Linked DNA regions of Arabidopsis thaliana. The protein of the gene in region 1 interacts with the protein of each later gene in a biochemical or structural test. Each region holds a gene or a part of one and is shown in the gene's direction. Other genes may lie near its edges. The genes, in order: IAA29 and WRKY57.

What was found.
Region 2: the proteins of IAA29 (region 1) and WRKY57 form a complex in vitro, tested with the Arabidopsis thaliana proteins (one study listed by BioGRID).

What each region holds. Positions count from the first base shown.
Region 1 is NC_003075.7:15,581,431-15,585,460, forward strand, and holds IAA29 (indole-3-acetic acid inducible 29), read left to right. Parts: upstream 1-1,901; 5' UTR 1,902-2,048; coding exon 2,049-2,308; intron 2,309-2,492; coding exon 2,493-2,821; coding exon of another isoform or gene 2,822-2,832; exon of another isoform or gene 2,833-2,926; coding exon 2,927-3,017; intron 3,018-3,122; coding exon 3,123-3,198; 3' UTR 3,199-3,468; downstream 3,469-4,030. UniProt on the Arabidopsis thaliana protein: Aux/IAA proteins are short-lived transcriptional factors that function as repressors of early auxin response genes at low auxin concentrations.
Region 2 is NC_003070.9:26,053,598-26,060,306, reverse strand, and holds WRKY57 (WRKY DNA-binding protein 57), read left to right. Parts: upstream 1-1,923; 5' UTR 1,924-2,397; coding exon 2,398-2,753; intron 2,754-3,594; coding exon 3,595-3,738; intron 3,739-3,825; coding exon 3,826-4,189; 3' UTR 4,190-4,190; exon of another isoform or gene 4,191-4,267; intron 4,268-5,378; 3' UTR 5,379-6,032; downstream 6,033-6,709. UniProt on the Arabidopsis thaliana protein: Transcription factor. Interacts specifically with the W box (5'-(T)TGAC[CT]-3'), a frequently occurring elicitor-responsive cis-acting element.

The sequences.
Region 1 (4,030 bases):
AAGAGTTAAGACACAGCATATAACCTTGTACCAACAGTGCTTTATTCTTAAATGGAAACAAAACATATGTCAATGTCAAGCATACAGCTAAAATATCATTATCTAATATTAAGAGTAAAACAAGATAATTAAAAATTGAAACAACACCATATTTTTATAGCTTTACTTATCGTATTTTTCTAGTCTTCATGGTAATTGTGTTGCTTTATTTTGTTTATAAATGAATTTGGTTCGACCAGATAGTCTAATATCAGTTTTTAAACACTGGTTTTAATAAAATCATATGTCGGCAATTCAACCTGTTACGTTGTATGATTGTATCCTAGTCAAATAGGGGAGGAGGTACTAGTCGTTTCAATTAGTTTACGTAATCAATCCAAAGAAACTATAAGCTATAAAGATCCTCAATTTGTTGGTTACAATAAAAACAACAGTTGTCAAAATTTATGTTTATAAAAAGTAATAACTATGTTCCTTCCCATATAGAGCAAAGTACCTCAGGATAGGCAAACCGTACTTAATAGCCCTTATTCATAATTTGATCCAACTCTTCCCCACAAAATTGCAACTGATGAAGTCAATACTTGTATAGTGAGTCAAGCTATAAATGTCTAGTGATAGTTTTGTCTCTTAAAAGGTTAACAAAAGTTATGACAAGCTGAAAAATCAGAGTTTGCTAGGAGTATTACTTACAGTTATCAGTTTAAGTATCACATTTATAGTATTGTATACAATGATTCTTAAATTCCACCTTTTCCGTGCGAAACCAAATTTTCTATTGGAAACATAGAATGTAAACAAAAATATGGGACGTTGTCCGTTCCAACATTAACCAAACTTGTCTATTACTAATATTCGTGTTGGTTTGATGTTGGATGTCTAAATTCGTTGAATCATGTGTCTCTTGACGAAATATGCATCTTCTTATTTCTTAGTATAGATGCACTTTATCATTCTTTTAGTACATGCTTAATTTTTTTTTTTAAAATATGTTGATTGTCATATTGCCAAAAGTATGAATTAAAGACGCACATCTAACACAAGTTAGCAGCCGTAAATCCTTCCATAAATTTATTTTGCAAGTTTTGCTCATTATATAATGAGCGGAATTTATGATATAATCGTTTGTAATAATGTTATGTTTTGATCAAAATTTGAAATTAAAAGTAGGTGAGAACTTGTTATACAGTGTAGATAAGGTGGATCTTGAATATAAAAATAAAATTTATAAGATGTATTTAAAGCAGAAAAGCATAAAACTTTAGATAAAATAATGTAAAAATGTGTTAGCATCAATGTTGGGATATTGGCCGACCCGAACTTAATCAATGTCGGAAGCCATTACTTCTCTCCCAAAAGACCTTTTTCCTTCGGAGAACTAGGAACTTCCTCACTACCTTTCGCTTAACGTGAAAGCCATAAATTTCATATATTCATAAAAATCAGAAAATCTAAAACTGTTTAGTATCACCTGTTTTTGGTATAGACTATTGGTTTTGTGTTACTTCCTAAACTATATGATTTCGTACTTCATTGGATCTTATAGAGATGAATATTCGTAAAAAGATAAGTTATCTGGTGAAACGTTACTTCAGTCATGTTGGGTCTAGATTTACATACTACTATGAAACATTTTAAGATAATAATTATCCTAGCCAACTATATGTTCTATATTATGGGCCAAGAAGATATAGAACTAAAAGTTCAGAATTTAACGATATAAATTACTAGTATATTCTAATACTTGAATGATTACTGTTTTAGTTGTTTAGAATAAATAGTAGCGTGTTGGTTAAGATACCATCTATCCACATCTATATTTGTGTGGGTTACATAAAATGTACATAATATTATATACATATATATGTATATTTTTGATAAAGCCATATATTACTCCTTGACCTCTGCCCCCATTTCCTTTTACTATAAATAGGAATACTCATGATCCTCTAATTCAGCAATCAACACCAACGAACACAACCTTTTCCAAAGCCAATAATAAAAGAACAAAAGCTTTTAGTTTCATCAAAGACGAAGCTGCCTTAGAAATGGAGTTGGATCTTGGTCTATCTCTTTCACCTCATAAATCTTCCAAGTTAGGGTTTAACTTTGACCTCAACAAGCATTGTGCGATCGAGGGTGCTGCGTCTTGTTTGGGTACCGAAAAACTGCGTTTTGAGGCGACGTTTGGGTTAGGGAATGTGGAGGAAAATTGTTATATGCCAAAACAGCGTTTGTTTGCCTTGAATGGCCAGCCCAACGAGGAAGACGAAGATCCTCTGGAATCCGAGTCTTCAATAGTTTACGAGTGAGTACCTTGACTATTTTAGTATTTGACAACAATTAGGTTAAAGTAGTTACATCTAGTATTATTATATAATAAATGACTCCGTAGTTTTCAAAAATGTTATGATGTTGTAGACTTGTAGTTAACTCAATGGAGAGGCATAATTTGTATTTTTTTGTAACATATAATTAATTTTAATATTTAGTGATGAGGAGGAAAATAGCGAAGTTGTTGGATGGCCACCAGTAAAAACATGTATGATAAAGTATGGTAGTTATCATCATCGTCATATTCGTAATCACCATCATTGCCCGTATCATCATCGTGGTAGGAGGATCACGGCGATGAACAACAACATATCTAATCCAACAACGGCTACTGTGGGATCATCATCTTCTTCGTCAATATCATCAAGATCATCAATGTATGTTAAGGTTAAGATGGATGGTGTGGCAATAGCAAGAAAAGTGGATATCAAGCTTTTTAACTCTTACGAGTCCCTCACTAACTCCTTGATCACTATGTTTACCGAATGTAAGTACTAATTACGTTTATCAAAATCTAGAGTAAGAAACCTATAAACAATTGAAAATAGAACGTAACTTTTTACTACTATTGAATCTAATTTTGGGTTATCAGATGAAGATTGCGACAGAGAAGATACAAATTATACATTCACCTTCCAAGGGAAAGAGGGTGACTGGCTACTTCGAGGGGATGTTACATGGAAGTAAGTTTACTTCTCTATATTTCAAGAAAAATGACTTATTGAGTAATGACTACTATACTCTCTTTCTTATATATTGATACTTAACTTGTTGTTTTGGTTTTGTAGGATCTTTGCGGAATCTGTTCATCGGATATCAATAATTAGAGATCGACCGTGTGCATATACAAGATGTTTGTTTTAAGGATAGGCGTTCAAATCGGACCATTATTTTTTATTTTGTAATTAAAATGTCTATCATTTGATTAAATTTCCACTCGATCTTTTTCCTCTATTCTTCTAGTTCTTAGTATCAAATCCAATGGTTTATAATCTGTTGTTATCTGATCCATGGCTAACACATGGACAAAAAGCTAAAGAAAATTCAAAAGTAAAAAAAACTCATGAATTGTCAAAGACAGACTAGCTGATAATAATTAAGATGTTAGACTTTTTGTGTGTACCGAATTGATTTTTTTTTCATAGACTTGTTTGATTGAGAAACCATAAGAATGTAATGGTTGCGGACGTCCGGGTTTTACACAAGTAAGTATGTCACTTTATGTGATTCAAGAGATTTCCAAGTAATTAAATTTTGGTTTGAATTAGATCGGAGTACGATTTTAAATTGTGAGTAAACAAGGGGAAAAAAAAAAGCATGAGTAAACAGAAAAAAAATGACATAAAAACTGATACATTTCTTAAACAATTTAATTAGCTGAATAGCTGATAACAAAATTTAAAATGAATATTATTGATCTTAGCTTAAAATGCGTAATTTAGATTAAAATATTAATCAATAATGAATGATATATAAGAAAATCTTTTATTAAAATGGTTATTATATTTACAATTTGCATAAAATTATATCATAAGTTTATAATCTTTAAATTAAATAATATGACAAACATAATCTTTATATAAGGAAAATAGATATTTTAGTGAAATTTAGAGAAACACAACTTTAGATCTACTAAAGTTATGAATGAAACAATCAAACAACTGTAAAAAGATCCCTACAAAAATTGAAAATTATT
Region 2 (6,709 bases), on another chromosome or scaffold:
ATTCATTTATAAATAATGATTTCATTCATGTTCAATTAGGTTTACACTTTATGAAGAATGATATGAGGAAACGTAGTTTTTGTAGCTGCTAGTGACGGGGGCTTGTAGCCGCAACACTATTTATCACAATTTGAATTCCAACTTATTAATATGCGTGTATAAGTTATAAATCAGAAATGATAAAAAAAAAAACTGAGCATATAAGATTATGAAGTATAAATCAATGGAAATTAATCGGTAAAAAAAATGTTTAACAATAAGAGATTGCATCTATACTATTAATCGGTAAGAGATATAGTAGTGAGAAATAGTGGTACAAAAACAAATAATGGTCTGTTTTTGGTAAGAAACAGTGATATGTAAATAGATGACAATACCATATTTTCTATGCGTTGTACCGGTTTTGTTGAATCATTTTATTTTCCTTTTTACATATATCACATTAGAACTGAGAACAAATTTAAATGATATATAAAAAACATAGGTCAGTCTTTTTATAGCTAAACTAAAAAACTTACTCCATTTAATTAGTAATCAAGTTAACGGTTTATATCATATAATAAATTTACAAATCAATATTTATGTTGATTTGATTTCTAACATGATTTGCTCCCATTATTGATACCTTTTTTTTTTTAGAGAGGACCATTATTGATACTTCCTATTCATAATCCACTATTTATAATTTATCGAGGATATGTATATCGAATCAAAGGGCCTACGAGGATATAGATGGATTGTGCAAATACAAGTAGGTGTCCCTCTTGCGTGTACGCACAAACGATTCTCGACGTAGATGCTAGCGTTATAATAGCACCGAGATCGATAGACCAAACCCAAAAATGGTAAAGAATAATGTTGCTATTTAGATGTGTATTGATACTTAATTCTTTGATTAAAAAACACATGTGAACCTAAATTATTCATATCCACATATCTTCACAAAAGTGTATATGGACAAAGTTAACTGTTTTTCTATAATCATAATTTTAAAACACAACTTGTATTACAGCTGTATCTATGATTCTATATATACGTTGTTAGCGTAGTAGCGTGTGGTACATATGTTACATGATTTCAACAATATTCTAATAATGGTTAGACATCACGTAGACATGTGTCTCGTTTTAATCCGTGCATGTATTTAAACAAAAATCGATTCATCTGCTGATTTTATAGACACTTTTTTATTTAAAAGACGATGTTGTTTAGTTTTTCCACAGGGAACGTTTACATGAATCTCGAAGATATGGTTGTTTGAGTCTGAGTGCGACCGGAAACGTTTGTTTGATGGATTGCAATTATGGGAATATAAATAAGGAATAACATGTGAATATGATTATAAGATAATTATCATATATGACTTATGAGGATTAAGAATTTCCACGTGGCCGGTTAATTGTTTGTGGTTTACATTCGCTAGATTCTTGTCATATCCAACACGGACAACACGCAGAAACCAATTATTTACTTTCTAACTAATTTTCAATCAAAATTTAAATATACTTTATTCATTTTCAATTATACCTCATTTCATAAAAAAAAAAAAAAAAAATTATGCTTTTTTATCCTCGCATCATCAGTCATCCGAACCACAAACAAGTAGGTGGTATTTTTAAGTTGAAGCTTCTTTTCTTCCACAAAAAGGAATCCCATGGACTCATACAACAAAAATTATACCAGATCGAACTAGGGTTCTGATAGTATGTTTGTTTCGTAATCGCTCACGAGTCACGACATCAACAATGACCAATAACTCAATTAGGTTTGTTTCATAGTTGCAACAGTAACATCGACTAATAGTAGTAGATACATAAAAACAAAAGTCTCGATGAACCAACAACTATAAAACGAACAAATCTTGCTAATCGTCCTTCTTTGGACAATTGGATTAGTGGTACCAATTTCAATAGTGAAAGAAGTCTCATCATCTATGTTAATTGAAGAGTAAATGCAAATCCGAGTCTAAAAATAGGCGTCGATCTATAGGACTCAAAAAGTAGACGTGGGCCTCTCACTTTCTCCGCTACTAGCAGCCTCCCGTTCCGTTTCACTTGACCCTTTTGACGTTGACGTTCCATTTTTTCAACTTTCTCTTCTTTTTTTTCCCTCTCTCTCTTGAATTATTATTAATATATTTTGTGTTTACGCAATTTCCAAAAATTAAATAAATTAAAAGAATCTCTCGTATAGACAAAGAGAGAGAGAGTCTGAGATCGGTCCTTGACGAGACACTGCACTTTAACGGGTTTCAAAGTTTTTTTTTCACTCTCTTTTCTTTCTTTCTTTCTTTCTTTCTCTTCCAATCAAGAACAAACCCTAGCTCCTCTCTTTTTCTCTCTCTACCTCTCTTTCTCTATCTTCTCTTATCACTACTTCTCTCGCCGATCAATCATCATGAACGATCCTGATAATCCCGATCTGAGCAACGACGACTCTGCTTGGAGAGAACTCACACTCACAGCTCAAGATTCTGACTTCTTCGACCGAGACACTTCCAATATCCTCTCTGACTTCGGTTGGAACCTCCACCACTCCTCCGATCATCCTCACAGTCTCAGATTCGACTCCGATTTAACACAAACCACCGGAGTCAAACCTACCACCGTCACTTCTTCTTGTTCCTCATCCGCCGCCGTTTCCGTTGCCGTTACCTCTACTAATAATAATCCCTCAGCTACCTCAAGTTCAAGTGAAGATCCGGCCGAGAACTCAACCGCCTCCGCCGAGAAAACACCACCACCGGAGACACCGTGAGTTTTTTTTACTGAGACGAGAAACACGTGTGTGTTTTTGTTTGCAGGGGTCCGATCGTAATTTACTTCATTATCTTAGTGTTGGTGGTGGGGAGGGTTTTAGTTTTATCTTGAGGCCAAAGCCAAAAGCCCCATTTTTTCTCTCATTTATTTTCTTTCTTTTGAGTAATTTCTTTGGCATCGCAAGAAAGATAGAGAGTGATGAGTTCGTCCGTACAGTAGTACATTAGAAGTTTTGGAGAGGGAAGGAGAAATTGGTAATTAAGTAAAGAATCGTCGGTGGCAGTTGGAGTAAATAATAATGATGATGGAGGAATGGGAGGAACACCGCCGCAATAGCGGCTGTGATATTAGCGTGCACTCTACATCTTCTTTTTCTCCTCGTCCTTTCCTTTTCTTTTTTAATTATACTAATGTTAGGTCAAAAAGCGTCTCACGTTTTAATGATGTTAATCTACATAGTATCTATCTAGCAAAGTTATTAAAAAAGACTCTGATTTTTTTAACAATTCTTGTCTCGTCAATCGTTGTTTCATAAGATGTTCCGTATGTAGGGTTTTCACTTAAAAGATGGATGAAAATGTTCTAGCAATGTAAAATGGATGATTTTAATGAAAACGTTATAGCAAGCATTTGAAGTCAAGTAACAATTTTTTTTGGTTAGATGTTCAAGTTAATTGCGTTTTATTTTAAACTCTCTTTTTTATTTTCCGTGGTTGTTTTGACTGTGCAATATTAGGATTGGAGTCCATGTTTTGTGATATTTTTTTGAATTTGATAGCTTGATTAATTGGTTACTCTGTGATATTGATGCATGGTTATATACTTTGTTTTCTAGAGTGAAGGAGAAGAAGAAGGCTCAAAAGCGAATTCGGCAACCAAGATTCGCATTCATGACCAAGAGTGATGTGGATAATCTTGAAGATGGATATCGATGGCGTAAATATGGACAAAAAGCCGTCAAGAATAGCCCATTCCCAAGGTCGTATATAAGTCATCAGTTTCTTTGATCATTCTCTTAGTTAACGGATATGCAACCTATATTTCTTATTGTTGTTGTGATATATAGGAGCTACTATAGATGCACAAACAGCAGATGCACGGTGAAGAAGAGAGTAGAACGTTCATCAGATGATCCATCGATAGTGATCACAACATACGAAGGACAACATTGCCATCAAACCATTGGATTCCCTCGTGGTGGAATCCTCACTGCACACGACCCACATAGCTTCACTTCTCATCATCATCTCCCTCCTCCATTACCAAATCCTTATTATTACCAAGAACTCCTTCATCAACTTCACAGAGACAATAATGCTCCTTCACCGCGGTTACCCCGACCTACTACTGAAGATACACCTGCCGTGTCTACTCCATCAGAGGAAGGCTTACTTGGTGATATTGTACCTCAAACTATGCGCAACCCTTGAGGTAATTTCTTACATGTTATATATATTTTTTGTTGTATTTGTTAATGTTCGTGCATTAATAGTCTTAGGAGTGATCAACTCTATAAAGAGATCAAATATATATATCTTTGGTATGCAAGGGTTTAAAAACTTTAAATGGACCACAAAGGGATAAACGGTTTTTCGTTTTAGGCCGAAGCTGAAAATCCACATCAAGGGATGTCTTAGGTGGGATAAAATTCCCATGCTTTGACAGAAACAAAGTCTAACTGATGTAGATGTACTTATGAATATTAGGATCAAATATCGTGTTGGTCTAATCATTGATGCGAACCATTATCTCTCTTGTGGAACAATTTAGATCACTCGATAGATATGTCGGCCAGTGCTTTTTCTTTCTCTAGTATTCATTTTTGCAGAACATATTATAAAGTTGGATGATGCATGCATATATAATAAGTGGATGATTGCCTCTCTCTATATATATTTAAATACACACACAGATATATATATATATATATATATATGTATATATTTACGAGTGATTGTATAAGGATCAAGCACTGGTATAATAGTGCCTTTTGTCTCACCCCTCTTGCTATAAGGCATATATAGGCTTACTTGTGTCTGATAGAGACGAGCCCAAAATGGGTCGGCGGGTTTATAGAAATGTCAACAAATATTTAAATCGAAGCTCAACTACTCCACTCAGTGTCACGATAATGGCTTTTCCATTTACATTTATAACCTTTTGTGTGTGTTCACAATTGCATGTATATATGCGTGATTCTGTGTCCTGCATGGTGCATCATTCTTATGTCTATGTGTATGTATATCAGTATATGTACAAGCATATTTACAAGAAGTACTACGCGAAGCATGTAGGATAAGTTCTGAGGGTAATGTGTTAGGTCATAGGAATAAATGCTTTCTGTTTTAGCCAAAGACAGCCAATAAAGGAAAAAGGAAGAAAATGAGGTAGAAGAGACGTATGAGCATCTTAGCTAGCTCCACAATTGAAACCTTTAATACGTAAATTCGTGTACATATATTTTTTATTTATTAAATTACGTATATATAGTTTGATTTGTAAACATTTCTTATAAGATCAACTTTACCAAATTATACACCATTGACATTAACATATGCTATTTCCAAAGATGAAATGTAACATATATACATATCTGCCTTGTTTGATTTAATCTCCCAGGTAAGCTTGGTACGTAGCAATAGCTAAGGAGGTGCTAACTCATTATATATAGAAGATATTGCAGACCAGAATATGCGCAGGGAGGGTATAACAATATGGCGTTGTAACAATGGATCTATATATTACCTCATTGTTGATCAATAGCACACCACCGGTACGTTTGCAATTTCTTCATGTATATTTCTTGTTATATATGTAGTTATATATCCAGGTATAATTTTGATGTAACACAACATTAATCTTAATCGTGGATCCATCCCACATTTGATGCATGTATGTGCACTTAAGAAAAAGAACATGGAGGAAATAACGTTATTTTTTATTATTCTTTTCATCAATTTTACAATTATTTTATACTTTTATCTTTATAACTTTAGGGCGATATATATCTATATGAACTTTACAGATTGCAAGAATATCCCCAATTCATATTGGAGAACAGAATTCGCGATGCGTAATTTATAAAAAGAGATTATCAATTGCTTTGGTGAAAATATCTTATAACGTGGTCAAGGCATGGATAATCCGAACAGCATCGACTTATATGACATGCCATTGTGAATGTGGTGATAATCTATTCATGTAACTAACATGTTTTGTACGTTGGTAAAAAAGACGAAATTTGTGGTAATCATCAATCATGTTTGACTTTTACCCATTTTGATCTAGACTATATATTATGGTTTTATCATCGTTTTTTGGTTTGGAACGGAATTTCGTTTACGTGATGAAAACGATAACCATTGCGGTGCCTCGTTGTCTCCCAAAAGGCCAAAATATAAAAGAGACGTAAACGATCATTAAATCAGAAGACAAACCAGTCTAATGATCAGAATTACTCAGTTTACATATTTTAAAAATTACAATCCTATTTATGCTAAAAAAAAATGTTTTGATCCGAACAAATTAAATCTTTCCAAAGACATTCAAAGTCTTGCTTTTCAATGAACCGTTCAAAGTTAATGAATGTATTGAAGTGACGTACATATCAACTTCTAGCTACGCCAAGCAAATGTGTAAAAACCGTTCCGTTTTGGTAAATTAAGTTCACATTTTAAATCAAGAAAATAAATGTCGACTTGTGAACTAAATATATGTCAACATGCTAATTGTCGACATTAATTGTTCTTAATCAGCCAAAACTCCACTTAAAAGTATTTGCAAAACGCACAATTATGTTCACATTAAAATATAAAATTCCGGTTTTGAACCAAGACAACCACAATCAACAACAAGGTCAATGTTTATTTCATGTTTCTGTTGAGACAACACTATGTCTTATGATTCCGAGTCATTACCGGAGATAAAAAGAAGAAGAAGGATTACGAATT